4 linked regions of the Tamandua tetradactyla genome follow. The protein of the gene in region 3 purifies or fractionates together with the protein of the main gene of each other region. This does not show direct contact. Links are inferred from orthologs where the notes say so. Each region holds a gene or a part of one and is shown on either strand. Other genes may lie near its edges. The genes, in order: SCAP, AMFR, INSIG1 and ERLIN2.

The links.
Region 1: the proteins of INSIG1 (region 3) and SCAP purify together in Homo sapiens (affinity purification with western blotting; 11 studies listed by BioGRID and IntAct, with this or other methods). This does not show direct contact. The link is inferred for Tamandua tetradactyla from reciprocal best matches to the Homo sapiens genes INSIG1 and SCAP.
Region 2: the proteins of INSIG1 (region 3) and AMFR purify together in Homo sapiens (affinity purification with western blotting; 6 studies listed by BioGRID and IntAct, with this or other methods). This does not show direct contact. The link is inferred for Tamandua tetradactyla from reciprocal best matches to the Homo sapiens genes INSIG1 and AMFR.
Region 4: the proteins of INSIG1 (region 3) and ERLIN2 purify together in Homo sapiens (affinity purification with western blotting; 4 studies listed by BioGRID and IntAct, with this or other methods). This does not show direct contact. The link is inferred for Tamandua tetradactyla from reciprocal best matches to the Homo sapiens genes INSIG1 and ERLIN2.

Annotation. Positions count from the first base shown.
Region 1 is NC_135341.1:39,146,848-39,154,635, reverse strand, and holds the start of SCAP (sterol regulatory element-binding protein cleavage-activating protein), read right to left. Parts: upstream 3,003-7,788; 5' UTR 2,926-3,002; intron 1-2,925. UniProt on the Homo sapiens protein: Escort protein required for cholesterol as well as lipid homeostasis.
Region 2 is NC_135342.1:50,117,865-50,124,929, forward strand, and holds the start of AMFR (E3 ubiquitin-protein ligase AMFR), read right to left. Parts: upstream 3,007-7,065; 5' UTR 2,852-3,006; coding exon 2,591-2,851; intron 2,376-2,590; exon of another isoform or gene 2,357-2,375; intron 1-2,356. UniProt on the Homo sapiens protein: E3 ubiquitin-protein ligase that mediates the polyubiquitination of lysine and cysteine residues on target proteins, such as CD3D, CYP3A4, CFTR, INSIG1, SOAT2/ACAT2 and APOB for proteasomal degradation.
Region 3 is NC_135327.1:200,660,589-200,668,021, reverse strand, and holds the start of INSIG1 (insulin-induced gene 1 protein), read right to left. Parts: upstream 3,019-7,433; 5' UTR 2,910-3,018; intron 2,736-2,909; exon of another isoform or gene 2,549-2,735; intron 1,589-2,548; 5' UTR 1,559-1,588; coding exon 1,147-1,558; intron 1-1,146. UniProt on the Homo sapiens protein: Oxysterol-binding protein that mediates feedback control of cholesterol synthesis by controlling both endoplasmic reticulum to Golgi transport of SCAP and degradation of HMGCR.
Region 4 is NC_135352.1:5,638,572-5,645,918, reverse strand, and holds the start of ERLIN2 (erlin-2), read left to right. Parts: upstream 1-4,334; 5' UTR 4,335-4,432; intron 4,433-4,441; exon of another isoform or gene 4,442-5,049; intron 5,050-5,664; 5' UTR 5,665-5,679; coding exon 5,680-5,786; intron 5,787-7,247; coding exon 7,248-7,329; intron 7,330-7,347. UniProt on the Homo sapiens protein: Component of the ERLIN1/ERLIN2 complex which mediates the endoplasmic reticulum-associated degradation (ERAD) of inositol 1,4,5-trisphosphate receptors (IP3Rs) such as ITPR1.

The sequences.
Region 1 (7,788 bases), on a different chromosome or scaffold from region 3:
CTTAGTTAAAAGGAAAAAATTCAGGTCATATATGTTACTAAAGTAAAAATATTTTAAAAACATAGGACTGCGCAACACAGTGAACCGTACTGTAAACAATGGACTATAGTTACTAGAATTGTAAAAATGTTCTTTCATTAATTATAACAAATGTAACACACTAACACAATGTGTTAATAAAATGGTGGTATATGGAAACTCTGTACATTATGTATTTTACACAAGATATTTCCGTAAATCTACAACTTTTCTAACAGCAACAACAAAAGGACTATCAAGAAAGTGAAAAGACCACATGCAGAATGGAAGAAAATATTTGGAAACCATATATATGATACAGGTTTAATATCCAGAATACAAAAAGAACTTCTACAACTTAACAAAAAAGCAAATAACCCAATTTAAAAATGGGCAAAGGATCTGAATAGACATTTCTCTAAAGAAGACATTCGAATGGCTAATAAGCTCACGAAAAGAAGCTCAATAGAAAAATGCAAATCAAAATCAGGAGGTACCACTTCACACCCACTAGAATGGCATATATATATATATTATATATATATTACATATATGTATGAGTGTGTAAACACTCATAAACAGGATTTAAGTGTTTGCAGATATGTGGAGAAACAAGAACCCTACTACACTGTTGGTAGGAATATTCAATGGTGCAGCAGAGGCTGGTTAGAGGGAGGAAGGGATGGCAGGCCAGCTTGAGGAAGATCAAAGAAGCAGGGATCTAATAAGGTTGCTGAGGATGAAAGAGACCATGATTCAGAGAACTCATGAGTAATGTGCAGCATTCTAAGAGGTGCAACCCAAGCACAAGGCCAAATGCAGCAAACTGCGTTGGACAAGGCTACTCAGAAGATAAAGTTATGGGGAAACATAAAAATAAATGAGATTTTACATTAAAAAAAAAAAACGATAAGGGTGCATGGGTGGTTCAGTGGTAGGATGCGCGCCTTCCATGTAGGAGATCCAGGTTCGATTCCAGGACCAGGCACCCAAAACACAAACAAAAAAAAGAAAGAAAATGTTGTAAAGGAAAAAACAAGTGAGATATAATACTTATGATCCATTACACAAAGAAAAAGGAAGAGAGTGAGAAAGAAGCCTGAGATGATATACACCAAAACATTATCAATGGCTATCACTGGGATTACAGACAATTAAAGCTTTTGTGTTTTTTGTGCTTGCCTATTTTCTTCAACACAGATGACTTCTACTTAAAAATCCCTCAATAAACCTAGAAATATGGAATTACAGGGGGAAAAGGAAATAGCACCATAGAAGAGAATGCAATCTCACTTTTAAGACATCACCTAAAAATAGGAAGAAAATAAGCCAAAAGTAAGAACCAGGTATGTAGTTGGCAGAACTACACTACAAAACTGACTGATGCTGATGGGATTCAGCATGAAATCTGATGTAAGCACTGACATGGTGCTCTGGTTTCAGGTGCATTTACATGGCTCTGAAAGCCCCAGGCCAGCAGTAGCAGCAACACCTGTGAACTTGTTTGAAATTGAAATTCCCAGGCTATCCCAGTATTAGTGACTGTGGGGTGGGGTTAAAACAGGCCCTTCAGGTGACTGTAATTTACATTAAAGTTTGACAACCACTGGTATTGAGGAATGATGTCTCCTCTAGGTAAATGATAGCTTCTCTAGTTAGACAAATATATTTCTTGCTCAAAACCCATTCCGTTATTTTAGTTCAACTTTCTAAACAAACACCAATCTATTCAAATATGAACTGATAAGACAGAAGACAACAATAATTTTTTTAATTAAGTAGAATCCTGAAACTCATCACTGTAATATAAAGTACCAACAACTGCAGTAGAATGAACTGGAAAGGTATAAAGCACTTAAATGTAAACATACATTTAAAAAGATACAGGTCTTTAATTGGCTATCACCCAGGAACACTTAAAATGTATATACCACTAGAAACCCTTGATCAGACTTCCTTACAAAAGCGTCAATATATGGCACCACATCCTACGAAGGCAGAACACCCTTAAGGACGCTACATAACCAGACTCCACAAAACGTTTGCTCAAATAAAAAAAGACACCCGCAAAACTAACATCATTAAAGAAAACATCTTCTTCCATGTCCTCACAAGAATTATTAATAAATCCCCCCAAAAGACTTAAATCAACTCATCTCTGATTGTCACCGTAGACGATGGGATTGTAAGTAACCCGGACTAAGGGAGACTCCTGTCAAAGCCCTCATAGGGCCTCACTGCTCCCTTGACCCAACATGTTCATCTGCACAACTTTCCGCAATAAGGTCGGGATCCAGGACTCCCTGCACCTAACGTTATCTTGATATTACACTCCTGTGTAACCCGGACTAAGGGAGACTCCTGTAAAAGCCCTCATAGGGCCTCACTGCTCCCTTGACCCAACATGTTCATCTGTACAACTTTCCGCCAAGTACAGAAATTAACAGTTATAAAATTAGTAAGCAAACTTTAAGTTCAAGCAAAACACAGGGAACTGCAAAAGCAAAACCCGTCAGAAAAGCTACGTGTTGCCTCAATCAGATTTTCCAAGACAGGAGACTGGACAGCATTGCTCTCCTCCTCATTCTGGAAGACCCAGAAAGCGCCAAAGCAAGCTGCCCAGGAGACTATGGGGCCCCCTCTCCCGGCAGTGGTCCACTACCCGAGCAGGGTGGGGTAACGTGGGGTGAGGTGGGGGCGCGGAACTTGGCCGGAGTGGGGGTAGGGACTAGCGGCCCGGCCCCTCTCGGAGCTGCAGTCCCTCCCGCCCAGCCCGCAAAGCTGCTGGGCAGCGCCCCCGCCCCAGTCCCTCCCTGAGGGCCACCAACTCCAACACTGGGGTCCGCGCAGCGTGAAGCCCGAATCGGGGCCCACATGCGGGCGCCGTGTGGACGCGTGCGGCTATACCTGTGGCAGCAGCGGCTCCTGGGCAGCGGCGGCGGGGGCGGGGCGCAGCGTGCGCGCTCCCGGACCGCAGCCCGATGCGTGGCGCCCGCCCTCTCTTACTGGGCCGACCGGCGCCCGCGCAGCTCCCCGCCCCTTCACCTCTCACCTCCTACCTTTCCCCTGAGCCGCCCTGAGCACGTGCTCCCGGAGGCTTGCGCATGCGTGGTATGACTTTGCCCCGCCCACACGCGGCTCCCGTTCGCCCCCTGGAGGGCTTCAGCCACAAAACCCCAAAGGAAATAGAAGAGGAAGTCCTGGGCCCGGTGGAAAGGAAACCACCAGGCTTGCACGAGAGTTTTTGAAAACACGTTCTGGAGAATTATCAAAACGTGCCCAAGATGTCCATGCACCCTTTTATATAGAAGTAAAAAGTGAGAAGCAGCATCACAGGAGAGTTTTATCAAACATTCCAAAAAGAATTAGCACTATTCCTCCTCAACTCTTCCAAAAAATTGGAGAAGGAGGCACTCCCTAATTCATTCCATGAGGCCAAAATCACCCTCATAATAAAGCCAGAAAAAAAATTACAGACCAATTCCCTCTGACGCAAAAATCCTCAACAAAATATTAGCAAACCAATTTCAACAGCACATTAAAATAATTATAAACCATTAAAAAAAGTAGAAAAGTGCAAATGGGTGCAATAAATTATATCCAAAAAAAACGAGATTACACAGATTTTAAAAGGATAAGTTTTAAAATACTTAGTGAAGTTAAAAGAGCTTTTTGCAAGTTTCCAAACAAACTGCAGAGTATGATTCATTTTTATTAAGAACACACGCAAGGAGAAGAGTCTAGGGTGATAACACACTGATGTGTCGTCAGTAGCAATCTCTAAGTGGGTGTTTGTGGTTTGCTGATGGGTATTTAACCATTTTCTGCATGGGACACATTTGGACACATCAATAACTCTGTTCATTGTGATTAGGTCCTGAGCTGAGGACTTTGCACATGTCCTTTCATTTAAACCCCCTTCTCACAGAAGAGAAAGAGTAAGCTTTGCCAGGAAGCTAGGATGGGAGTACAGGTCTCCTGCCCTGAACAGAGCTGGCCCAGGACAGGCAGTCCTTTGTTCATTGTCTGGGGAGTAAGGTGTGGGGGGCTTTGCTCATACCATCCTGTTCCCTGCTGGAGCTCTAAGTGCCTGAGCCACCCACCTACGTACACTCACCCTGGGACAGCAAAGATTAAGCAGAGATTATGTTGCTGTCCTCAAGGGCACCAGCACTGGAGTTGTATAAAGTGCTGATACAGTGCATATATAGCTACAATGCAAGGCAGAAACCACAAACTGCCCTTTGGCCACCCCTTTGCTCTTGCCCTACTTATGCCTTCTGTGAATAATTATTCCCACACCTTCAACCCCATTCCTACCAGACTCTGGACTGCCTCTCCAAGGTCACCAAAGCCCAGCCCTGCTCCCTGCCCTCCACACTGTTGTCACAGTGGTACTAAAGAATAGTAGGGACAACTGGCCTTGGCCAAAATGACATTTAGGATTATTCCTTGTATTTTCGGTTGGCTTTTGGCTTAAGATGGAGATTTTAATTTCAATAAAGGAAGAATTATTTTCATTTGTTTATTTCTAAATTAGAGGGAGGTAGCAATAAAGAGTACTGTGGGAAAACCTTACCTATACCCCCTACTCATTCTCACATCACCCTCTCCGTATCTGATTTCTTGAAATCCCATCATCTGTCCCCTCAGAAACCTTGGGCATGAAGGATCTACGTAACCAGTTCCTTTTTCTCTCTCCACTGCCTCTTTTCTCTTGGCAAATATAAAAACTTATCCAATTTTCTTTAGTTTTCTGATTAAACCTACTATGACCCTGCATGACCCATTCTCAACCCCTTTCTTTTACTGCCAAGTTCCTAAAAAGAACATAGTTGCACACTTGCCTCACAAGAATCACCTGGAGAATATTTAAAATTGAATCAGAGTCCCCCAGAGCCCTAACCCAGGCCCACTGGACCTAAGTCTTCTCTTCAGAGATGGCTAGGAGACCGTCTATAAAAACCTTCATGAGGGGGATATAGACAGACAGACTGATTTTTTGAGAACTGCTATCACTCCTTGTGCCAATTTGAATTTGTGGTATACCCCAGAAAAGCCATGTCCTTTAATCCTCATTCAGTATTGCTGGGTGGGATCTTTCTGATTGTTTCCATGGACATGTGTCTCCACCCATTCAAGGTGGGGTTGCTTTCTGGAGCCCTTTAAAAGGGAACCATTTTGGAAAAAGCTCTAGAACCCATGCAGCCAGAGACCTTTGGAAATGAAGAAGGAAAACGGCCCTGGGGAAGCTTCATGAAACAAGAAGCTAGAGAGAAAGCTAGCTGATGTCTTTATGTTCACCATGTGTCTTTCCAGTTGAGAAAGAAACCCTGAATGTCATCGGCCTTCTTGAACCAAGGCATCCTTCCCTGGCTGCCTTAGATTGGACATTTCTATGGCCTTGCCTTATTTTGGACATTTTCATGGCTTAGAACATGTAAACTTGTAACTTATTAAATACCCCTTTTTAAAGTCATTCCGTTTCTAGCATATTTCATTCTAGCAGCTAGCACTAGAACATTCCCCTTATTTACCACTCCCTCTCCTCTGACCACACCAATGAATCGGTTTGCAGGGGGACTGACCCTCAGTGAGGTCTGGATACATATGAAAACAAGAGCCTCCAAAACTGACAAGCACTTGGCTAAGTACCTCTGAGCCTTGAAGCATGGTGACGAATACTCCACTGCACCAGGAGCACCAACAAGGGCCTTTTGGAGCCTCTGGGGAAATAAAGGCTCAGTGGGCCTTGGTGAATCTACTGCAGAATGAAGTGGCCATGATGTTAGAGCTTCTCTTCCCAACATTATATTATGAAAACACAAAGAAAAGTTGAAAGAATCATACAGGTAACACCTATATATCCTAATTCTACAACTGTTAATGGTTTACTTTTCTTGTGTCTATCTACGAATCTATCCCTTTATCTATCCACCAATCCATCTTATTTTTTAATGCGTTTCCAGGTATGTTGCCAATAATTGATTTTACATTTTACTTTTATTTCATGTGGAATAGCAACTTCTAGCCCTGACTAACCAAAAGTCAAATCTTACTTCAGATTACTTCTCAGGGAGATGGTATATTCAGCAATTTTTAAAAATAACTACTGAGAGATTAGAGATCAAGAAGTGATGATGATTCCCACAACTTGAACATCTACCCTGGGCCAACCTTCAAACTGATTTCAGTTAATCCTCATAACAATCTTAGAAAAGAAGGGTTGAGTCTATTTTACAAATGAGGAAATCTTTCTCTAGGGAGGGAAAGAGATGTGCCCAAGGTAGCTCTAACTCTGGGACCCAATACTAGAGCCTCCTGCCCAGCTGTCTCTGCCTGCCACAGTTTCAGAGAAAGCTGCTTCATAATGATACTTGTCTTTGCAATACTTGCACTGAGGGTCATTTTCACCATTAAGCATTAGCTATAGCAGTTGGCAGTATAATAAGTTGGGATGCTTCAGGGCCAAGCTCCTTGTAATGGAAACTGATCCTCACATTCAGCAGCAACTCTGTGGCCTGAAGAAGCAACATAACCTCATGGAGCCTCGGTTTTCTTTGATTCCAAGATGCAACTAAGAATAACATCATCTATGGTTTAAAAAAAATTAAATGGGAGTGTGATTACATGCAAAATGCCTAGAACCCAATAAATAGTGGCCATTCTAATATAAAAAATACAGTCTCAAAAAATATTAAATATCAAAGTTGCAATGATAGTCAATGATATGCATTTATTATTTATCAAGTTCTTACCATGTTTCAGAGACCCAGGCTACAATAAGTAAATTCCCTGGACTAGAGAAGTTTACTATCTTAATATAAAACTTTATAGGCAATATGATAAGAGTAATTACAGAGGTCATAAAAATAACCAATAATTGGCTGTCAGTTCCTTGCCAGGACAGATATTACAACATATTATCTCATAGTCTTCAAAAAGGCCTTATGAGGCAGATAAGATAAACTCCATTTTACAGATGTAAAAACTGAACCATCCAGAGCTATAACAACTTACTGAGGTGACACAGCTGCTAAATGGCAGAAGCAGTATGAAATGTGGTCTCCCCAGCCCCAAAGTTTGCCACTGACCTTCTAAGTGCTATGGGATACAGGGAGTCTACTGGCAAGAAAACAAAGAGCAGGAATCATGAAAATGTCATTTGAGTAGGGCCTACAAGGTCAATATGTGTTTGTCAGGCGAAAAAGAAATACAAGGCAACCAAACCAGAAAGGAAGTAGTAAACTTCCATTTTTTGCTGATGACATGCTCCCATACTTCGGAAATCCTGAGAAATCTATCGCAAAACTACTTGGGCTAATAAATTAATTCAACAAAATGACAGGATACAAGATTAATGTGCAAAAATCAGTAATGTTTCTATACACAAGTAATGACTTAACTGAGGAGACAATAAGGGAAAAAATTCCATTCAAAATAGCAACTAAAAGAATCAAGTATTTAGGAATACATTTAACCAGGAATGTAAAGGACCTGCACACAGAAAGCTACAAACATTGCCAAAAGAAATCAAAGAAGATCTAAACAGGTGGAAAGACATTCCATGCTCATGGATAGGAAGGTTAAATGTTGTTAAGATGTCAATTCTACCCAAACTGATCTACAGATTCAATGCAATACCAATACAAATTCTAACAATCTACTTTGAAGACTTGGAAAAGCTAGTTATCAAATTTATTTGGAAGGGAAAGTGACCATGAATACCCAAAGATATCCTTAAAAAGAAGAATGAAGTGGGAGGACAAA
Region 2 (7,065 bases), on a different chromosome or scaffold from region 3:
CTGAGAAATAAGTCTTCAGGGGGATTGCTCAATTCTTTTTCCTCACAGTAGACCACTTTTCCCACCCCTAGGTCTCCTCTTCACCTTTTCAGCCTCCCTCTTCAATCAGAAAAGCCAATAGATTTTTAATTCAATAGTTTACTGACTGCTCTGCATATGCACTGCACACCAAACTGAACTTCACGTGCAGTTTTCTTTGCCTGGAATGCCTTTTCTACTTGTTGAGATCCTTCCTGTTGTCTAAGGCTAGGTCCAAATGCGTGTGCCATGAGTTCTCCCCCAGGCAGAATCTAATGTCTTTCCTCCAAACTGTACCATATTTTGTTTATTACTTAAAATGTTTCAACTATACCCCCTAGAGTGCACAAATTAGTACCTCTGAAAGGTTTTGAATTGAATTTGTTTCTAAAACCTGTTGAGACACTCTACAACCTATATTATCCCAAATTGAGCTCTTCAAAGATACATTTAGAGATTCCAACATGTTAAATAATAGTTGGTAGGACTTGCAAAATGGCAAAAGGATCAGTTTTTGTTTTATGTTGCTGGGTCTTAGAAGGCAGGGTTTTTTGAAAAAAGTTGAACCAAAATGCCTTTAGGAAGGCGGCTAAGAGGATACTGTTTTTGTCAAAGACCCCACCACTTATTCATTCATTAATGTTATCAGGCTACAGATTTTGAGCTTATGATCCCTACTTGGCTGCTAAAGCAGAAACTAAAAACTTACAAATGTACACATCCATGCTAGCTCTAAAAAACCAAGGAAAGTGAAGATGTACATAAAAAAAAGAGAAATGAGGGAATGAAAACAATAAAATGATCAACTGAGAAAATGAAAACACCACCAATAAATAGGAAGAAATTATAATTGCATGACGTAAAACCTCTCAAAAAAAACTGCAAAGGGAAATCTTCTTAAAAATAACAATTTTCACAGAAAAATCAACAGGCTTCATATAAAGTTTTATGAAGTGGTATTAACGTTGAGATTTGAACATGGGTTTTGCAAGAAGAAACTTCCAAGGGAAAATATTATTAATTCTAACAGGTGTTATATAAATACAATAGTGATTCCTTTTCAGATGCTTATTTGAACTTCTGACTTAAAGTTTTAGTCAGACTTCATTATAATCTTTTGGCTAAATTACTCTTCATATCACTCTAAGTTTTTTACTTGCTAATTCAAATGGAAAAAAATTACTGGAAATTAAACAAAAGATGTGAGTTGGGTTCTTTCTCTTCTGCCTTCTTTGGTACTGTAAACTTCAGCTTTACACAGCAGAAGCGGATTGGGCTTCATCTTTCACTGCCTTCTACTAAACTCTACATCAGACGGATGAAGTGTATTCCACAGCCCACAGAGTTCTCAAATCCCACCGCTCACTGATGAAGCACAGTGGGATTAATTATAACAAATGAGTTGTATATCATTTTATAAATTTGGAATTATTAATCTCTCAGTCATTTACAGCCTACTCTCAATTCCAGATGGGAACTTGCAGGAGAAGAAGCTAAGATACAAAATGCAGCAGTAAATGCCCAAGTGACAGATTTATCTCCTGCAGCAACTTCTTTGATCGCTGCAGGATTTATGTAACAAACATTCAAGACCCAAAGAAAGCAAAACTATTTATCTAAAATACTCTTGATCTGCCCGGCCTGAAACTACCTGTTTTAATAAAGGAAACCAACATTTATGACTTGTAAATGTTGTTTATCTTGCACTGGAGGACAAACTGGGAAGCTTATTGTGAAATAGATCACTAGAAGGAGAAATCTCGAGTTAAAATTAGTTGACTCCTGAATTGAATGTTTTGCTGCCTTCAGACATCAAAGAAAACCGACATAACTCATCAGGTAAAAGCAGCAGGAAAGCACAGTTTTGTTTTTTAATTAAACATACCACCCAAAGAGGACGATCAAATACCAACCAATGGCAAAAAAGTTGTGGGAGAAGGCCTCTCTTCCAACAGGAATGCCCAAACACAGGCAAATGTCCATCCCTGCCCTCTCCTCTGCATTAAAAACCCGCTAACAACTTTTCCAAGCTTTATAGCCAGAGAAGCATTTCAACTTCCCTTCACTTAATAAAGCATGCAGGTTCGCTGACTCTGTGCTCCCAAACTCCCTTAAAAACCTGCTCTTTGAGGTTTCCGATTTCCTTCCAGATGGTTCCTCAAAAATCTCGACTCCGCAGGCCACCTTTTGCTCCCCCAACCCCTTCCCGGGCACCTTAACCTTTTCCACCCCCACCCGCCCCTCCCTAGGGGCCTGGCCACATTCCCTCACCCCCCACTCCCACCCACCGCTCTCCGCACCCCTCGCGCCTCGTGGACCTGCTTCCTCAAGCCCTCACCTCGGGCCGTATCTTCTTTCCACCCCAGAGCCCACCCCCGACACCGCAACCCTCTCCTTCCGCGGACGCTCTCGCAGGCGCCTCCCGCACGGCCTCTGCCCTCGGAGGTCTGGGGGGAAGGAGGCCCCTTATCCCAGCCACGCCCCCCACGAATAATGGGTGACATGGCGGCTCACTCCCCCACCCACCCTCACCGCCCCACTCCTCTGTAGGGCCTGGGGCAGCCTCGCTCACCCACACGAACAGGCTGTCTGAGAGCAAATACTGGGCCACGTCGCGGGCCCGGGGACCCCCAGCGCTCGGCCGGGCCGGTGCGGGCAGCTTTGACTGCAGCTGGTCCGTTAGCTGGGCCGACTCGGCCGACCCGGGCCCGGCCTCGGGCTGGCTGAGGGCGCGGTAGGCGCTGACGATGGTGCCGAGCAGAGCCAGGCCGCTGAGGCCCGTGTAGGTGCGGAGGCTTGGCCAGGGAAAGCGCTCGAGGAAGAGCAGAGGCATGGCGGCAGCGGCAGCCTCACGACCCCAGGCCTCCCCGCGTTGCAGCCGAGTCCCCGCGGGAGGCTCGAGAACAGCGCCCCGGGGTTCTGGCGTCGCTGTTGCCGCCGCCGCCGCCACCCCGGGCCGGGCCGGGCAGCTCCTGGCCGCTCCGCCCCGCACCGCTCCCGCTGCTGCCCCTGCCGGCGCGGAAGAGCCTCGGCGGGCCCCGGACGGGCTGTCGCCCCCAGTGGAGCGCTGGCGGGACGGGAGAGAGGGCGCGGCCTTCGTCCCCCGCCCCCAGCCGTCGCCCCGCCGCCTCGCGGGCGAAGGACTAGGTCGCAAGCCCTGCGGCTCAGCACCAAGCTTCATCCTTCGCCTACACCCCGGCTCGGCTTGGGCCGCGGCAGCGGAGAGAGCACGCTCCGGGCCAATCCGAGACTTGACACAGGCCTCTCGGAGCTGACGGGCGGCCTGGCCCTTGGCCCAGGCCCAGTGGCCGGCCCGCCAGACGCTGGGGAGCCCCCCGGACACTTGCCCCTTTGTTTCCTCCATCCTCTAAAGCAGGGTGTCCCCCAGGACCCTTGGTATTTATGGAATAATAGAGGCCCTGACCACGAAAGCAAGAATATTATGGAAGTTTCTCTCCAATAAAGTTACCTCAAGTGTTTCTGCTGTTTACTAATAACCGCTAGCAGAATCTGAAACGAACCTAATTTGGTACGAAATAAAATGTGTTCCTCATACAGTGCTGGGAAGAATGTAAAATGGTGCTACCACTTTGGAAGTCTGGCAGTTCCTCAAATAGTTAAACATAGAGTTACCACTTAAACCAGCAGTTCCACACTTTTTGAAGTTTATACCCAAGAGAAATGAAAACATATGTTCGCTTGTACACAGATATTCATATCAGCATTGTTTATAATAGCAAAAGATGGAAATTACCCAAATGTCTATCAACTGATGGATAAACAAAATGCAGTGTATCTATGCAGTGGATTATTATTCCACCTTAAAAAGGAGTGAAGTTTTGATACATGCCTCATGGATTGAAAATATGCTAAGTGAAAGAATGCGACACAAAATACCATATATGGGCAGGCCATGGTGGCTCAGCAGGCAGGGTTTTCACCTGCCATGCTGGAGGCCCTGTTTCTTCTCCCAGTGCCTAGTCATGTGAAAAAAAAAAAAAAAGACCATATATTGTTTAATTAATTAAATGAAACGTCTAGAATAGGCAGATCTATAGAGACAGAAAGTAGAGTAGTGGTTGCTTAGGGCTTTGGGGGGAGGGGTGGGGGAGAAAGTGACAGCTCAAGGGCACAGGTGGCTTTTTGGGGTGATGAAAATGTCCTAATATTGTAGTACTATTTGCACAACTCTATGAATATACTAAAAACCACTGAGTTGTACGCTTTAAATTGGATGAATTGTATGGTATGTGAGCTATATTTCAGTAAAGGCGTTGTAAAAAAAGTCACCTAAAGAAAAATGTGTTATTTAGGGTCTTATTCTACATATCCCCAAGACCTATAAATAGTGCCTGAGTATAGTAGATGCTCAGTAAATATTTGTTCAACCTTACAAACCTTCAAAACAAAAGGACTAAATTATCTTTAAGGTCTTTCTCAAGTCTAATAGTCTATTAATTAGAAAATAAGAAAAGATCTCTTGAGGTTGTTACCATCCACTGTGGAATTTAAGAAGCATCCAGTTAAAGGGGGCCTTCCATAGAACAACAGTTTGGCTTTACTGGGGGTCAACTACACACACAATGCTTTCTTATATGAAGTCTATATGCTTATTAGACTTCAGTTCCCTTTGATTCTATAGCCAAGGTAATTTGATTAAAATGCTAAACTTTCAACTTTATTGATAAAATGATGGAAAGCTTTCTTTTGGAAAAATGAGGATAGTTAACTTTCTAAGGAGGTGTTACATTACAAGATTTGAGCCCCAAACATTTTTTTAAAAGGCTTACTGACATAATTCACAAACCGTACAACTCATCCATTTAGACTGAACAAAATGGTTTGTAGTCTATCCATTCACACTGTTCTAACAACCATCACTGGTCAATTTTAGGAAATTTTCATTACCCCTAAAAGAAACCTAGTGTTAGCTCTCACCCCTTACCCACCTACCCTACCCCACCCCACCCCCCACCCAAATATCCCCAATAATTCTTAAACCACAGTTTGGGGTTGGTTTTACAATGGTGATTTATTAACTTACAATTTACACTTCTTAGGCTGTGAAAATGTCCAACTCAAGGAATCAACTGGACAATACCTGGACTCTGAAGACAGGCTGCTGGCCTCTAGGCCTCCTTTGCCACTATGACAAGGCATATGGAGACAGCTGCTGGTCCTTCTCTCCAGGGTTTCATTGCTTCAGTGGCTTCCACTCAGCTGCTCTGAATTTCATCTCCTAGCTTCTGTATGTTTTATCCTCTTATAAAGGCCTCCAGTAGGATTAAGACCTAGCTTGAATAAGGTGGGCCACATCTCAACTGAAATAACCTAATCAAAAGGTCCCACCTACAATAGACGTACATTCACAGGAGTGGATCAAAAGAACATGGCCTTCACTGCCCTTTCCCTCTCTACATGGGACATGATTCCCAGGGGTGTAAACCTTCCTGGCAACGTGGGACAGAAATCCTAGCATGAGCTGAGACTCAGCATCAAGGGATTGAGAAAACCTTCACAACCAAAAGGGGTGAGAGAGTAACGAGTCAAAATAAAGTGTCAATGGCTGACAAATTCCAAACCGAGTTGAGAGGTTATCCTGGAGGTTATTCTTACGCATTAAATAGATACCATCTTTTTAGTTAAGGCATAACAGAGAGTTTGGAGGGAAGTGCCTGAAAATTTAGAGCTGTGTTCCAGTAGCCATGTTTCTTGAAGATTATTGTATAATGATACAGCTTTTGCAATGTGACTGTGTGATTGTGAAAACCTTGTCTGATGCTCCTTTTATCTACCTGATGAACAGATGAGTAAAACATATGGATTAAAAATAAATAAATAATAGGGGGAACAAATGTCAAAATAAATTTAGTAGATTGAAATGCTAGTGATCAATGAATGGGAGGAGTAAGGGGTATGGTATGTATGAATTTTTTTGTTTTTATTTCCTTTTCTGAATTGATGCAAATGTTCTAAGAAATGATCATGATGAAGAATATACAACTATGTGATAAAAAAAAGAATGCTCATATTGTATGTTGATTGGTTTTATTAATAAAAATAAAAAATTAAATTTAAAAAAAGAACATGGCCTTTTCTGGGGTACATAACAGCTTCTAACTACCACACACTAATTGGTGATCCATATTCCATCCAAACACAGGCAATCACAAAACACTAAGCATTAAACTTGAAAAAGAAACAAATTCTGGCACCATCATAAGGGGCTACTGTCAGTAGATTGACCTTAAAATATAATATTCCAATATTTTGAATTTCAAAGTGCTTGTCTTTGAACTATACTGAGATATCCACTACTTCCTAAGTGTTAAAAAAAAAAAAAGCTTTAGTCAACTTATTCTCTGGAATGATTTTGTAAAGAGCTTAATATCAATTTTTTACTTTTGTCTAAGACTACATAAAAATTACAGTCTAATTTCATTTAGAAGCTTGAACTTTCTGAAAAACCTATGAAACAGGTAAAATTAACCAAACTATGTAAGGCTATTTTTACTTGCATTTTGAAAGAATTTAAAAGTTTTTCTCAGGATTTTACTAGGATAATTATTTGTTCTACCAACATTTTCACTGTCCCACTCCAAGAACATAACCAAGTTTTACACATCCCTATCTCAAAGATATCTTGAAAGGCTGGAAACCACTCAACCAATGCTCAATGCTTCTGGGTCTTTCTAAGTGTATCCCACACCATGAGAGGAACAGGGGAGAAAGCAGAACACAAGAATGGACCACACCCAAAGGACTACCTGTGTCAGCTGAGTCCCAGTCCCGAGCCCCAAGTGCAGCAAGGTTTCCAGTGGCTGATCCGGCCTGGGTGAGTGGAGAAGAGTTTGTGATGGAAGAACCTCTAGCATCTTCCCACTCCACCTTCATTTCAGAGTACCATTCAAGCCCCTAGATTGTTTGAGTAAGTCCCTCCACTCTCAATAATGACTAATAGACTGAATTCTCTGCCATCTTTGTGGGATGGGGACTCTAATTTGGTTTGATGTAAAGAAAAAGAAATGAGTCATTTCAGACAAACCC
Region 3 (7,433 bases):
GGAGACTGTATAGACAGAGTTATGAACAGTGGCTCTTAAGTGACCGTTAAGCTCAAACGCAGTGGCTCTGCCACTTACTAGCTGGGTACCCTTGGACAGTATTACTTCACCTCTCTGTAATTCAGCGTCCACATTTGTAAAATGGAGCTAAGTACAGGATTGTTGTAAGGATCAAAAAAAGTAAAGCACATAAAGCATAAAGTAAGCAATCAATAAACACTAGCTACAAGGAAAATATTAGGGTGCTCCTCATATTGTATTGTAGTTACGTATATACATGTTTCTTTGGTTTCCCCACTGGACTATGGGACTCTTAAGGACAGGGGCTTGTCATACTTTTATATTACAAGTATATAAAATGTAATATTTCATATTACACCTGGCAAATACTTATATAAATGAGTGCTATGTGACACTAAGGAAGTACTAAGTGATCTGCTGGGCTAAGATTAATTCAGTGTTGTTATAAAACTGGCTAAGTGACAACCAAGAAATTCTACTCAAAAAAAGACAGTCCACGTGCACACAATTGGGCTTACTCTCTTCCTGACATACTTAATCTATAGAGCTAACAGTTCTAGGGAGCAAAAAAGGCTTGGCTATTGGCCGCAGTTCATTTGGATGTCCTGGCAAAAGAAGTGCTGAGAAGTTGCTCCCTTGGCAACCACCTCTCGAACACATGTGACGGATTTGTTTTTAGTTATCCAGCAGTGTAGCATGTTCACTCAGGCAACCAGTAGGAACTCAGCACTGCTGCTCACCAGTTCTAAAGGCAGCCAATCACAGGGCAGCTAGCTCTTGATGACAGCTGCAGTGCTATACTCAAGACTGTCCTTAGTCTGCCCAGAGTAAGAGGAAGAGAGCTTGGTTTGGCAAAGGCATTTGCTTCAACAGCCAATTATCTCCCTACCTCATCTCCATCACTGGACTTCCTCAAACTTGGAGACAGCTGTTGCTTAGATTAGCATTTGGAGGTTTGATAATACTCTCTACCCCTCTTTTCTTTACCTAAATTAAAAAAAAACACTGGTGACAAACAGTGTTAATTTGTGAGTGGCTCCATTTTCAAATAAATGTTCCTTACTGACAATAAATAAATAAATATTTATATATACTTTTTAAAATAAAATAAGAACAGTTACTTACCAGCTGCTGTCCCACAACAGGGAGGAACCCACCAGGCTGAGGAGAAGATGGTGGCAATAACTTCTTCGGGGAAAAGGGTGACATTTCTCTGTATCTGCAGTAGGTTGAGCACAAGGGCTAGGACAACTCCAACTAAAAAAAGCACAAGGCTTCTTTGCACCAAGTGATGATGCCAACTGTTAGCGTGGCTGCTGCCGCTACTGTGGCCACTGGTTCCAGTGCTCCGGCCCCTCTGAGAGGGGTCTGTGGTCACACCACTGTGGTCCACCAGCAAAGAGGGGCTGGAAACAGACGAACTGATCATTTCTCCCACTTTTGCTGCCAGCCCTCCAGCACTGGCTTTCAGGTATTTTGGGTGCCTCCCACCGTGAGCACAGGAACAACTCCAGAAGTGACCGTCTAATCTGGGCATCTGTTACCACCAAAGGTCGAGATGAGTTTCCTGGAAGTGAAAAAAAAAGGGGGGGGGGGAGGAAATAAAGAGGCAAAGAAAGTTAAAGAAGCCTGTAACTTCCAGCCCTGTGGCCCAAGTCAGATGCTGAAAGCTACACTAATATTCATCCCCAGCATATACAGTAAGAACAAAAAAGTTCCTCAAGGGAGTTAGTAGCGGCTATAGTAGCAGACATCAGCCACCTTGCATAACCGAGCCACTGCACTTACATAAATTACCTCATGTCTGTTCTTTTGTCACAAAATTAACATATAAAAAAACTACCCATACATTCTATCTGGGTGATGCATAAGTTGTTTGAAGGTATGCAGAAGCAATATGTAAGATAAATATAACCATAACTCTACAAAATAAAGCAGACACTTTAAAACTACCCGCCTACCAAGGATCCCTACTCTGTATGTCCTGAAAAGCTTGCCCATTCGGTCCAAGAGTTTTCAAGGCACAATGTACATCTGCCACGAAACTTTTAAAACTAGCATAAGGAAAACATCCCAATCTTCAACCAGCGTTTCGCAGAAAACGTTAACAGGATCAAACCTGCTGGTTTTGAACTGAAAAAAGCGACGTAAGAAACAGCAGCACTGGTTAACCACATTTGGACGCCGGCAACGACTTACTATTTTAACCAAACAATTTCGTGCATGGGTTGCACCTCCCACCAGAAGAGTGCTGGGAATCCCGCTTATCCGGGAAGTAGAGGGGGGCGTCCAGCCCATCAACCCAAAGAACTCAGGCCAAGGCACCTGAGCAGTCAGGCCTCCAGGTCTACATTTCAGATTCCGTTGGGAAAGTTCATCTATTCGAGCTCCCGGGGAAGGAGAGAGAGGCTCCAGCACCCGGGAAGCTGGGGCCTCAGGAGTGGGTTCTACGTCCTGAGCAGCCCCCTCTGGCTTCCCCGCCGGCCTCCGGTCCCGGCTCGCGCCCCCCACCCCGGCATCTCCCTACCTGCCTGAGGGCGCCCGCCCGCGGGCTCACCGAGGCGAAGGAGGCGGGGTTACCGAGGAGGAGCCGCCGCCGGTGGAGACTAGCCCTTAAGTTTCCCCCGCAGCATCCAGCAGGCAGTAAAACCTTTATATCACAGGCCGTGAAGCTCCCAAATCACGTTACCACGGCCCAGCCTACCCGAAGTCACCCGCCGCCCCGCCCCCACACGCCGCCCCGGCCGGGGGCGGGGCCTCGGTCTCCCGCCCGCTCCCGCCCTCCAGGTAAACATTCGGTCTGGTGAGGCCTCGGCCGCCAATGGGAGGCGGGCGGCCCATATGACGTGGCCGACACACCACCCGCCTCCCTCCCGACAGTTACGAACCGTAGGGGCGGGAGCCGGGTCGGGCTGCCTCTCAGCTCCGCGGAGTTGGACCTGGGGCCGAGGGAGGGGCGGCGCCGCCGGGGGAACGCGAGGCTGGGGTGGCGGACGCCAGCGGAGGAGGAGAAGGGAGCCGAGTGAAGCGAGAACGGGACGTTGGGGGCCGGGCCCGCCGCTCCGACGCCGGCCCCTCGGCCCCGCCCCGCGCGCGTCCAGCACGGGGCTGTGGCGGAGGCGGCCGCGCGGGCAGGTCGCAGCCAACGTGGCCCGGGGCAGGCGTCACGCGCCTCTCGCCCCACCCGCGTGGCGGCCTCACCTTCGAGGCGCCCGCGCGGTTGGACCACGGCGCTCCGGCCGGGCCGGTAGCACTTCGACCCCCACCGGGCTCAGAGGAGCCGTGAGAGGGGGCTCCACGCAAATTTTGACGCTTGGGGCCAAAGTAAAACCTGAATGGCTGTAGAGGAGACTCTTGATCATTGGGAAAGGGGCTTAATGGCTAAGGAAGCGGATTTATGTTATACAACCCGTACGTGTCGCTCCCAAACCTCGCGTTAAGCGATTTGGGGTCATTGCAGCCTCAAATGTGGGCCGATTGATAGAGATTTACCTTCTTTCCTGGCCCCCTTCACTTTGATCATCAACGGAGAAAACAGTTTTTGCCTTAAGTGTGTGAATCTGGCATATCTTGTTTTTTAACAAGGAGTCCTGCAGACACCCCACATTACAGCTCCAACCTTTATTTCATGTAGGGATGTCCCTTTGTAGTCCTTAGGCTCTTGATAGTTACCATAACTATTAATTTTAAATGAGCTAATGCATGCAGTGATCAGAATGGTCCCTAATATGTAGTAAGGGCTTGCTAAATATTAGATATTAATTTTTGTGTGTGTGTATGTATGTGTTGTTAAAGGTACTTTTATACTTATCTCCCACCAGACAGAAAATCCTTTATGAGAACAAATAAATGACAAATATTCCATTCACACAAGGATTATTTTCTAATCTTCACATTTGCAAAGCAAACCCTCAAAGCCACTAAGGAGAAAAGAAAATGTTAAACAGAAAACATTTGAAAAAGTAGACTTTTATCTTGTTGACATGTGTAATGTATTTATATCCTGTTTATCACATGTGTCACGCCATCTAAAAATAAGCTCAGTAGGCCGGCATCATGCCAATTGAAAACCTGCAACATGTTGAACGAGATCTATAGTATTTAAAATGTTCTTCAACAATAGTAGAGAAAGATGTGGTCTTTTGTACTAGCTGCAGATGAGCAGAGGTTGCAGAGGAAGTTTGTGCTGTAAATAGCAACGCTTCATGGCTATGAGAAGATCCTATACTTAGAAAACTTGAGTCACGCCTACCATATGGCAACATGAAATAACCGTTTGTCTGGCATTCTCCAGGTTAAGATTCGTGGCTCTAAGCCAGAAGGTTAAACAACAGAAAGTGAAACATCTTCATGCGGTATCAATATTTCTCAAAAGTTTTTATGTTTATTTGTAAGGGTGGGATGAGAGAGATTCATACGAATTTTTAATGACAAAACGGGACTTCAGGGAAAAGTAGTGTTTACAGCAGCTGTGCTCACACTCCTTGACTGTAAGGGATGTTTCATTAGGAAAATTTGAGAAGCCACGTGTGAACACATTTGCCATTCATTAATTTTTTTCTATCACTCCAGAGTCATTACCAAATTTCTCTTTTCTTACTCCTCTTCGTGGCTGAGACATAGCTTAGTTGTGGTGGGTCTTAAACCCCTTCTGATGCCAATCTGGTGTGAACTTCACCTAATCTTTTCTACTTTTCTGTGAGCACTAAGTGTAGTCACTATGGATTGTAACTGAAAGTTGCTCTCAAACCCTTTTGGTCAATCAAGAAGACATAGCATTTGCTAATAAGGTGACTTGCTTTCGTTCCTTGAACTTGAACCAGATGTGTGTGAGTGACCGTTTGGAAATGGAGGGGTTAGATGGAGCTCTTTCCCTTTCCCTTCGGAATGGGTTGGGCAGAATCAAGGCTTTCAGATTCTCTCCCTATCCTCTTCAGGGCCTGTTCACCGTTTTATATGTTGTTGCCAAAGAGTCAAAGGAGTTTTGACTTCAAGAAATGTTGTAGTTCGAGTCTTGGATCATTATATCCATTCCACCTTGCCTAAGTGGGCAAAGTCGTATGTATACAATCATAGTAGCATTGGAGCTTGGTATGTATTAACAAAAATAAAACTAAAAAGCAGCCAAATTGTCAGCTGATAGGGAACTGGTTAAATAAATGATGGCACCTCAATAGAATGGAATGTTATGTAATTGAGAATCATTTCTTTTTTAACTGCCAGGAAACTATATTCTACTGTCATTAGTGTCAAGCCCGTAAGCATTTTGAGAATCACTGATGTAAAACTGTCAACCTCATGGAGCTGCATCTGCATTATAGTCTTGACCCTGAGATGTAGATATGTGGTGGATTCAGTTATGAAACACCAGCAAATACAGGAATCTTTGCTTTATTGGGACCGTTTTCATAAACTGGTTTATTCAGGTATGTGAGACCCAAAAAAACAGGTGAAAACTCTTTGCATACATATTGAGCTGCTTGCTGTCTACATGGATTCCTTTCATAACAGAAACCAGTGTATCTGTCTTCTAGGATTTAAGCTGTATTTGGTTTTCTTTGTTTATATCTTTCTCCTGCCGTTCTGCTTGACCATGTAAATTGCCCCAACATTGCTTTCAATTGTAATACCTCTTAGTTTCAAGGTATTACCATGTAAAGCTATTTTATAGATTCCTGAGTTGCTTGGTTCATATTTGGGAAGGGGCTATCAATTCCCTTAGGTACTTGGTATGCTAAAGTCTCTGTTAGTTTCCTAGGGCTGCTGCCACAAATGACTACGAATTTGTTGGCTTAAAGCAATATAAATTTATTCTCTCACAGTTCTGAAGGCAAGAAGTCTGAATCAAGAGGTGCGTAGGGTTGGTTTCTTCTGGAGGCTCTGAGGGAGGATCTGTTCCATGCCTTCCACCTAGCTTCTAGTGGTTGGCTTTCCTTGACTTATAGATGCATTACTCCAAGCTCTGTCTTCTCATGATGTCCTCCTCTTTGTGTGCATCTCTGTCTTTATATGACCTAATTCAGTATGACCTCGTCTTAACTAATTACATCTGTAAAGACCCTATTTCATGTTTTCAGGTTTGAGGTGGACATGAATTTTGGAAAGATTCTATTCAACCTGGTGCATGGTCTATTTACTCTGTCATCTTTTTCTTTCTATCTGCCCAAGTCAATATTAAGACGAACCAGCCTCTCTGACCATCCTCTCCTTTCATCTGTGCTGGGACAATTTCAACCATGGGGACTGTAGCCAGGGAGGCCCTGTGAAGCTGAGGCTGCTCCACGTATGTGGAACAAAGCATACTGTGGGAGTGTGGAAGGGCCACCTGTGGGCTGTCTTTTCTTGGGTCCTTGATGAATGTTGTCAGCTCAGCCTCTTTTAATCTAAGGTACAGTTTATCACTGCATTCCCATTGTGTGTGGTTGGCCTGAATGCCTATATAATCTGACTCCATGAATCAAGTCAGTCTAGGATATTGACAGTTGAGTAGTTGGAATTTATCCTCTTGGGGACTTCAACTTCAATATCAGAAACCATATTCAAATATTTTGAGTGTTTGACACTCAATACTTGGAATGATAGCATCTATCTTGAACAGGATGGTGAAATAGGACACAATGCCTCGGTAGCTATTCTAGACACAGAAGAATCATGGGAAATCTGAGTGTTTTGAGACATCGTCTAGTGAGCTATTTACCCTTAGTTGTATTCCTACTATTCTTTTATTTTAACATTAGTCATCATACAACCATAATATTTTAAGAAATAGGGTAGGTGACTAAATATGTGTATTTTTTTTTAGCCTTTAAAAATTTTTTTTTGCATTGGTAGGCACTGGGAATCTAACCCAGGTCTCTGACATGGCAAGTGAGAATTCTGCCACTGAGCCACTGTTGCACTGCCCATGTGTATTTATTTTTCTTTCTTTCTTTTCTTTTATCTTTTTACATGGACAGGCACTGGGAAGCAAACCTGGGTCTGTGGCATGATAGGCAAGAATTCTGCCACTGAGCCACTGTCGCACCGCCCTATATTTATTTTTAATAAAACAATATAACCTGCTTGCTGTAAAATATCTAAACAGATGGAAAAATACTTTTAAAAAGTACCTATAATCCCACTACTTAGGATAGCCACAGTTAACATTTTGGTGTGTATGTTTCCAGATACTTTTTCTATGTACATGTATGTATGTTTTTAAAAACATAAATAGGATCGTATTTCCTTTTCTTACCTAAGAGATCCTGAACATTTTTCAGAGTCAATAAGTATAGACTACACCGTCATTTAATAGCAGAATTGTATTCCTGAATATTGAGGAGTGTCTTAGCTTACTTGCTAAGACTTTTTTGGTATGTGTAATCACACAGTGTTCTAGTTTGCTAGCTGCCAGAATGCAATATACCAGAAAC
Region 4 (7,347 bases), on a different chromosome or scaffold from region 3:
GCTCATTAACTTGATTGTGGTGATAGTTTCACAGGTGTATACTTTACATCAGAACATCAGATTGTATACTTCATATGAAGTTTATGGTATGTCAATTATATCTCAATAAAGTTATAAAAATCAAATCACAAAATAATCTTTAGGTGGCTTCCAACTGACTTCAACTTGGTATTTTTTGATTCCTCTTTGATCCTTCATCCGACCTCCCTGAAGTAGCACCTGAAGAAAAGCACCGTTCGGCTAAAGCATATATCCTTTTGTTCTTCTATGGTATCAACCCTCATTTTTATAACAAAGTAAAAGAAGAAAGTTCTAAGGAACTCTCTTAATACTTGTAGAGTTCTTCACTCCTCTTCTCCCAGTTCACCAAAATCTTACCAGAATCAAATGTCCTGAAAGATGACCTCTATCCTTTTAAGGCCTAAAGTAGAAAAGCAGGAAAAATCAAAATCAAGTAAATAGAAACTTTGTTCCAGCAACTTCCACTCTTGTGATATAAAGAACTGAAGCCAAACATTTTAAAAGTCACTTGACTCCTTCAGAGTTAACCTGGTTGTCAATAAAAAGGGCTCTGTCTGTGAAAAGAAGGGATTTCTTCTTTTTGGAGTGGCACTTTCACTAACAATTAGCTAGATAAGAGAACCAAACAAACAGCAATCCAGAGATACGGTGATGTGGATTGCTGGAGAGAGGTACTTTTTACCCGGTTTCAACCTACAACTGCAAAATGAACTTGCCCAATTTAAAGTTTTGCAATTTCTGACCACTGGTCTACATTCCTGAAAAGTCGTATTGTAAAAAATAAATGTTTGCTTGTGTGTTTTAAGCTGTATCATTTTCCAATCTGCTTACTACTGAAAAGAAATAGGCTTGGGATCATTTGAATTCTGCCTTTGCCACTTCCCAGTTTTGCAATCTTGGGCAACTCCTTAACTTCTCTAAGCCCTAACTTCCTCCTCCAAAATGGAGTTGAATTCAAAGGGCTGAAATGAAGATAATATAAAATGAGAAAGGCATAGGATCTGGTACATAGAAAGCACTCAATAATATTTTATGAAATTTGCATTGTAAATATCTATTGAAGTATAATTCAGAGTCCCTTATCTCTCCTTCTGATAAGGCTTCATTCGCCATTTGCCCAATACCACATAACTTTAAGTTTATCCTTCTCTCACCCTCTCACCCTCTGTCACATTAATAATCTGTACCCACAAACATGCAAGAACATATTAAAAGAATATTTAAACTAGCAAAAGTCTATTTAAAAAAGCAAAAGCTAGCACATATTGAACACTTACAACGTGCCAAATATTATTGTACGTGCTTTTCTTAATTTGCCATTTAATCCTTGCAACAGGTTGCAAGGTTGACGCTATTAAAACCGTCATTTTACAAGTGAAGAAACTGAAGCACATAGAGTTCTTTTCTCCAAGTCACACAGCTAATAAGAGGTGAAAGCCAGAGCCCCCAATCTTGGAGTTCGTTCTTATGAAACTGAATCCCACAAAGGATAGGCTAAGCCTACTTAAAATTAGGCCTAAGAGTCACCCCCAAGAGAACCTCTTTTGTTACTCAGATGTGGCCTCTCTCTCCAGCCAACACGACAAGCAAACTCATTGCCCTCCCCCTGTCTATGTGGGACATGACTCCCAGGGGTATGGACCTTTCTGGCCATGTGGGACAGAAATCCTAGAATGAGCTGAGACTCAGCATCAAGGGATTGAGAAAATCCCTAGAATGAGCTGAGACTCAGCATCAAGGGATTCAGAAAACCTTCTCGACCAAAAGGGGGAAGAGTGAAATGAGACAAAATAAAGTGTCAATGGCTGAGAGATTCCAGAGTTGAGAGGTTATCCTGGAGGTTATTCTTATGCATTAAGTAGATAGCACCTTGTAGTCAAGATGTAATGGAGAGGCTGAAGGGAACTGCCTGAAAATGTAGAGCTGTGTTCCAGTAGCCATGTTTCTTGAAGATGATTGTATAATGATATAGTTTTCACAGTGTGACTGTGTGATTGTGAAAACCTTGTGTCTGATGCTCCTTTTATCTACCTTATCAACAGATGAGTAAAACATACGGAATAAAAATAAATAATAGGGGAAACAAATGTTAAAATAAATTTAGTAGATTGAAATGCTAGTGATCAATGAAAGGGAGGGGTAAGGGGTATGGTATGTATGAATTTTTTTCTGTTGTCTTTTTATTTCTTTTTCTGAATTGATGGAAATGTTCTAAGAAATGATCATGATGATGAATATGCAACTATGTGATGATATTGAGAATTACTGATTATATATGTAGCACGGAATGATCATTTGTTAAGAATGTTTTTGTTTGTTTGTTGTTATATATTTTTTTAATTTTAAAAATAATCAAGCTATACACTTAAGATCTGTGCATCTTAATGTTATGCGTATTATGCTTTAATTAAGATGCACAGATCTTAAGTGTATAGCTTGATTATTTTTTAAATAATCATTTATTCAAATATTTATTTTCAAATAAAATTTGAAAAATTTTATTAATTTGAAAATTAATAAATGGAATGGAATAATCATAAGTTAAGAATGTTTGTGTTTGTTACTTTTTTTAAATTTAAAAATTAATAAAATAAATAAATAAAAATTTAAAAAAGAGGTGGGAGCCAGGATTTAAACCCAGGCAGTCCGGCTGTGCAGTCAGTCCCCACACCTAACCACTTCTTTACCACAGCACATCTGCATGGACGCTTTGGACAGTGAATCATAAAAGTCACAAGTCTCATAAGAAAGGGATTTTCAAAAATGTTAGCTCATCTTGCAAAATTCATCCCCTACCTTAAGGCAGGGCCACAACTAAACAACTCAGTTCTACTGAAAGCCTCCTGAGAACAAAATCCCAGAACTTCCTCTCATAGTCCATTCCAAAGTTTAAAAGTCAGAAAATTCTTAAAACTAATTTAAATCCCTTAATGCTGCTGGCTAAGCCCCTTTCCTTCGGTTGATAAACTCCAGTGTTTCTATTCTTCTTACTCATTGACTCACCTACTAAACAGTTGTTAAGCATGCAGGGATGCATTATATCTCTGAGCAGCTAGAGAAAAAGCTCGAGTTCTGAGAGGGAGAGTCAAGCAATGGACTGGGATGTGTGTATGATGTGAGTGGAGATGTCGGGTCGCAGGATGGGGAGAGGAGAGAGTCGAAAAGAAGGCCCTGATACAAGAAGACGACCCCAGACAGGACTATCCACCCCGCTTGTGGACCTAACCACGTATTATTCAAACATCTCAATACAAACTCAGACACAGCAAAATGAGGAAGGGACAAGTGGGTCAACCCCAAGCAGCCACAACGCCTGAAAAATCCACAATTCATTTTTCCTGCCTCCTACATTTGCCTCAAACATTAGCTTACTGTAAAAAGCTTTTCATTTACTGAAGACCGTAATTAAGTCTGAACTTCCTCTTCTACAAACAAAACTATTTCAGTAATTGAATTAGAAGTTCCGTGATAGGAGGTTTCTGAAGAGTGAAGGCTGAGGGCGATGGCAGGCCTTTGGACCAGGAGAGGCGAGGTCTGTGTTCTGGTCCTGGGTCCACCCTGCCTTCCAGCCAGCATTTATGAGGCACAGAAGCTCAGACACGACGCAGCCTCAACTCTCAGGGAGCTTACAGTCTGCTCAGGGAGACGAGGTCCGAGGCCTTATAGAGACAGTTGAGCTCAAGACGTTAAAGAAGCACAAAGCCTTTCACCATTATGTCCCACACATCACTGAACCTCTTAGATACACTTCCTTAAAATGGAGAGAATATCTCCTTCTTAATGTACTTTATGGTACTGTGGGGACCTTAAAGGCCAAAGCTCCTAGAAAAGCATAATGGGCAATAATTCAAAGTAGAGATAGCTTATTGGCAACACACGGTACTTAATCTGCTTATTTATAAGACCGTCCCGTGCAGCTGGGCAAATGGACAGGGGCCGGGCAGAGAGCTAGAGGAGTTTCAATGCACTGTTGCAGAAAAAAATATAGGGCCCCAAAGGGGACTCGGCCTAACAGAGGAGCAATCCTGGAGCAGTGTTCAAAGACAGAACCTCAGAAAGCGACCCTCTCGGTCTCGACCTCCCCACGCTACACAGACTCGACCCACACCCGTGCTCTCGCGCGTCCCTCCGGGGACTCCCCCACTCGCCCAAACCCCAGCCCGAGCCCCGGGGCCGGGTCGGCTGACGGGCGCCCCCTCGTGGCCGCCTGCGGACACCCGCCGCTCCCACTCCGGGGGGCGTGGCGGACCAGCCAGGAAGCGCGGGCCGCAAAGGCAGCGTCCTCGCGTGGGCTGATGAGGTCATCACTGGAGCGACGGGCCCGGAAGGAAGTGGCGTGCTAAGGGGTGTGGCGGTTTCTGCGGTTGCTCGGGGGTTCGGAGGAGTACGGAGCGCCTGGAGGGACAGCCCGGTACGCCGCCCCCGCCCCTCCTCAGTGCGCGCACCGGGTCTGTGTTGCTTCTCCAGAGGCCGGAGCTGCTCGGCGGTCTCTGGGGGTCCCCGCCTCGGCCACTTTTCCCTCAGCCGGCCCGTTCCTGCAGCGGGATATCAGCCCCTTTCCGCCCTGTCCCCCACCCACCGTCTTTCAGGCGGGGCCGAGCGGACGCTCTGGGAGCCCCGGCTGCAACCCTGGGTGCTGGGGACACGCTAGCCTCTCTCTCCGAGGAGGGAGGGGAGGGGGCGAGGTGGGACGGGGAGGACCCCCCGAGGGAAGGGTCTCTGCAGAAAGGTTGCTCAGCAGCGGCTGGGGGCTGCCACGCTGCAATGAGCGCCTCGACGCTCCCTGCGCCCGCCTTATGGTAGACCCGGGAGGCAAACTCCACGCTATGACTGAGTGTTCCAGACACGCTTTACTGTGAACTTGACAGTCGGTCAGCACGGTTTTTCCAGCGCTTTCAGGGTTCAGGAAACCAGCCTCTGGCCAGCTTTTTGGCGTCCTGGTCCCTGAACGCATTTGGACCCAGAAGCCCAGAGTCTCCCATCCTGGACAACTCTCCTCGTCCCACGAGGGGTTGGAGGAACTGTCAGGTGCATAATACCTGTCAAATGTATGGGAGGGAGTATGACTGCGGTCTTGTTCAGGACCCTATGTCCCCTTAAGGGCCCCGGGAATAACTGGAAGGTGGATGAAAGGCCACAGAATCCTACCTTGAAACTCCGCTCACTCCCTGTCTCTGTCACTCCAGGATCTGAAAGGAGTAAATAAGGGTTTCCTTTGAAATGGGAGACAATTAGGATTAGGAAGCCCTGAACAGAATTACATAGTCGCAACTGCCTGTCATGACATCCTCTGTAATTTGGTTCAACCTACTGCAGCTGCCTCTCTTCCTTCTTACTAGTATGCGTGGCCCCAGTGACAGCACATTCATGTTCACAGGAAGAGAAGGCTGTGTTCAGAACGCTGCCCAGTTGGCACTGGTTCTTTCCTGGACCCAGTCACTGTCTCTTCAAGGAGATGGAAATATAATTCCATGGCCAAGGAATGTGAATGTTGAGTTGACAAGGATGAAGAGAGCCTTGTGCTCCTACTGTAACAGGCTGGAAATGAGCCACTTTCAGGGAGCTTACCTCCATGAGATACTCTTACTGTCATAGTTTATCTACCACGGGCCACACACACTTTTTCCCATGTCTTTTCCCTAGGAGAAAGGTTCACTGATGGCTCAGTTGGGTGCAGTTGTGGCCGTGGCTGCCAGTTTCTTTTGTGCATCTCTCTTCTCTGCTGTGCACAAGATAGAAGAGGGACATATTGGGGTGTATTACAGGTAAGGCAGAGGCAAGGAGGAGTTTGCAACGTCCTGTGAAGTATTCCCCTTTGCTAGTCGCTGTCTATCAGATTCTGCTGAGTACCTACCTGTGTTTATGTTTTTTTTTAATATTTTGTCTTTTGGATCGACCTTTTGTATAAGTGACCATGAGGGGAGAATATTTTATTTACATATATTTTATGTATATTATATATTATACACACACACATATGTAAAAGCCTCCTTAGAGTGTTCTAAGATGATGCCAAGGATGGCAATTGATAAATATGTGGATTTAGAAACAAAACCTAAAGTAGACCAATGCTCCTTGTAGACCATCCCTAAAATGATGCTTTTTCCAGCATCATTGTGGGTGTTTGAGTGCCACAAAAAGACAGTTGAATCCCAATTCTCACTGGCAAATTGAGAAGATAGCCTACCCTGCTAATTTAAAGAATGATTCCTTTGGGACTATTCTTGAAAATTAGCATTTCGGGAGAAAGGAAAAAACCCGCAGGTTGATTTATATCAATCAAGGCAAGTGCCAGGGTGGTAGCTCTTAGGATTATGGGACCCATTATGTCCCTATTTACTTTAATACTCTTCTTAAAAAAAAATTGTCTTGGACTTAATGATGTAAAGCAAAAAAGCACTTATAAATCTTGAGTTGCTTACCTTCTACTAACCTCCATAGCCACGTTTTTTTGTTTGTTTGTTTGTTTGCTTTTAAGTTTTTACAAACTCCTTGTATGTGCCTTATGTTGCTTATACTGGATTCCAATTACAAGTACCAAAATTCTGATTGGTTTTCTCCTCTCCCCTTAAATCATTTCTCCCCACCATTTGCTTACATGTACAAAAACAAAAAGGCTTTGAATTTTTTAATTTATTTACATACAACTTCATTAGAACAGTAACTCTCTTGTCAAAAAGTACATATTATGGTCATTCGGTGGTAGAATGCTAACTTTCCATGTGGGAGACCTGGGTTCAATTCCTGAACCATGCACCTAAAAAAAATAAAAAATACATATTATGACTTATAAAGTGTAGTTAAAATTATTCTTTTGGTCATCCAGGTCACTGGACTCTTAACATTAGTGCAGTTAGTTAGTTGATAACTGTACTATCAGATTTGAGTGCCCTAATAAAATGCCACAAGCTCAGTGGGTCTGACAAAGTAAAACAGACCGTTTCTTATCCTAGGTATAATCAGAAATTCTTCTGTTTTTATTCCCCTTCGCTCTTGGGCCTGTTTTTGTCCTTGCAAAAGCATAAATGATGATTTTATGTTTTATCATCAGGTTGTTGTTATACCAAGATATTAGGGTAAAGCTGAGAGAAAGAAAGGAATCTGTGAACATGGTTCTGGCACATGCCACTTTATGTTCAGTGTTTATGGAGCTGAAGAGAAAGTTGGTCCAAATGGTATCTAATAGAGCCTTCTTGCTAAACAGCCAGTTTCTCTCTTCCCTGCAGAGGAGGTGCTCTGCTGACTTCCACCAGTGGCCCTGGTTTCCATCTTATGCTTCCTTTCATCACGTCATATAAGTCTGTGCAGGTATACTTGATTTGTGGG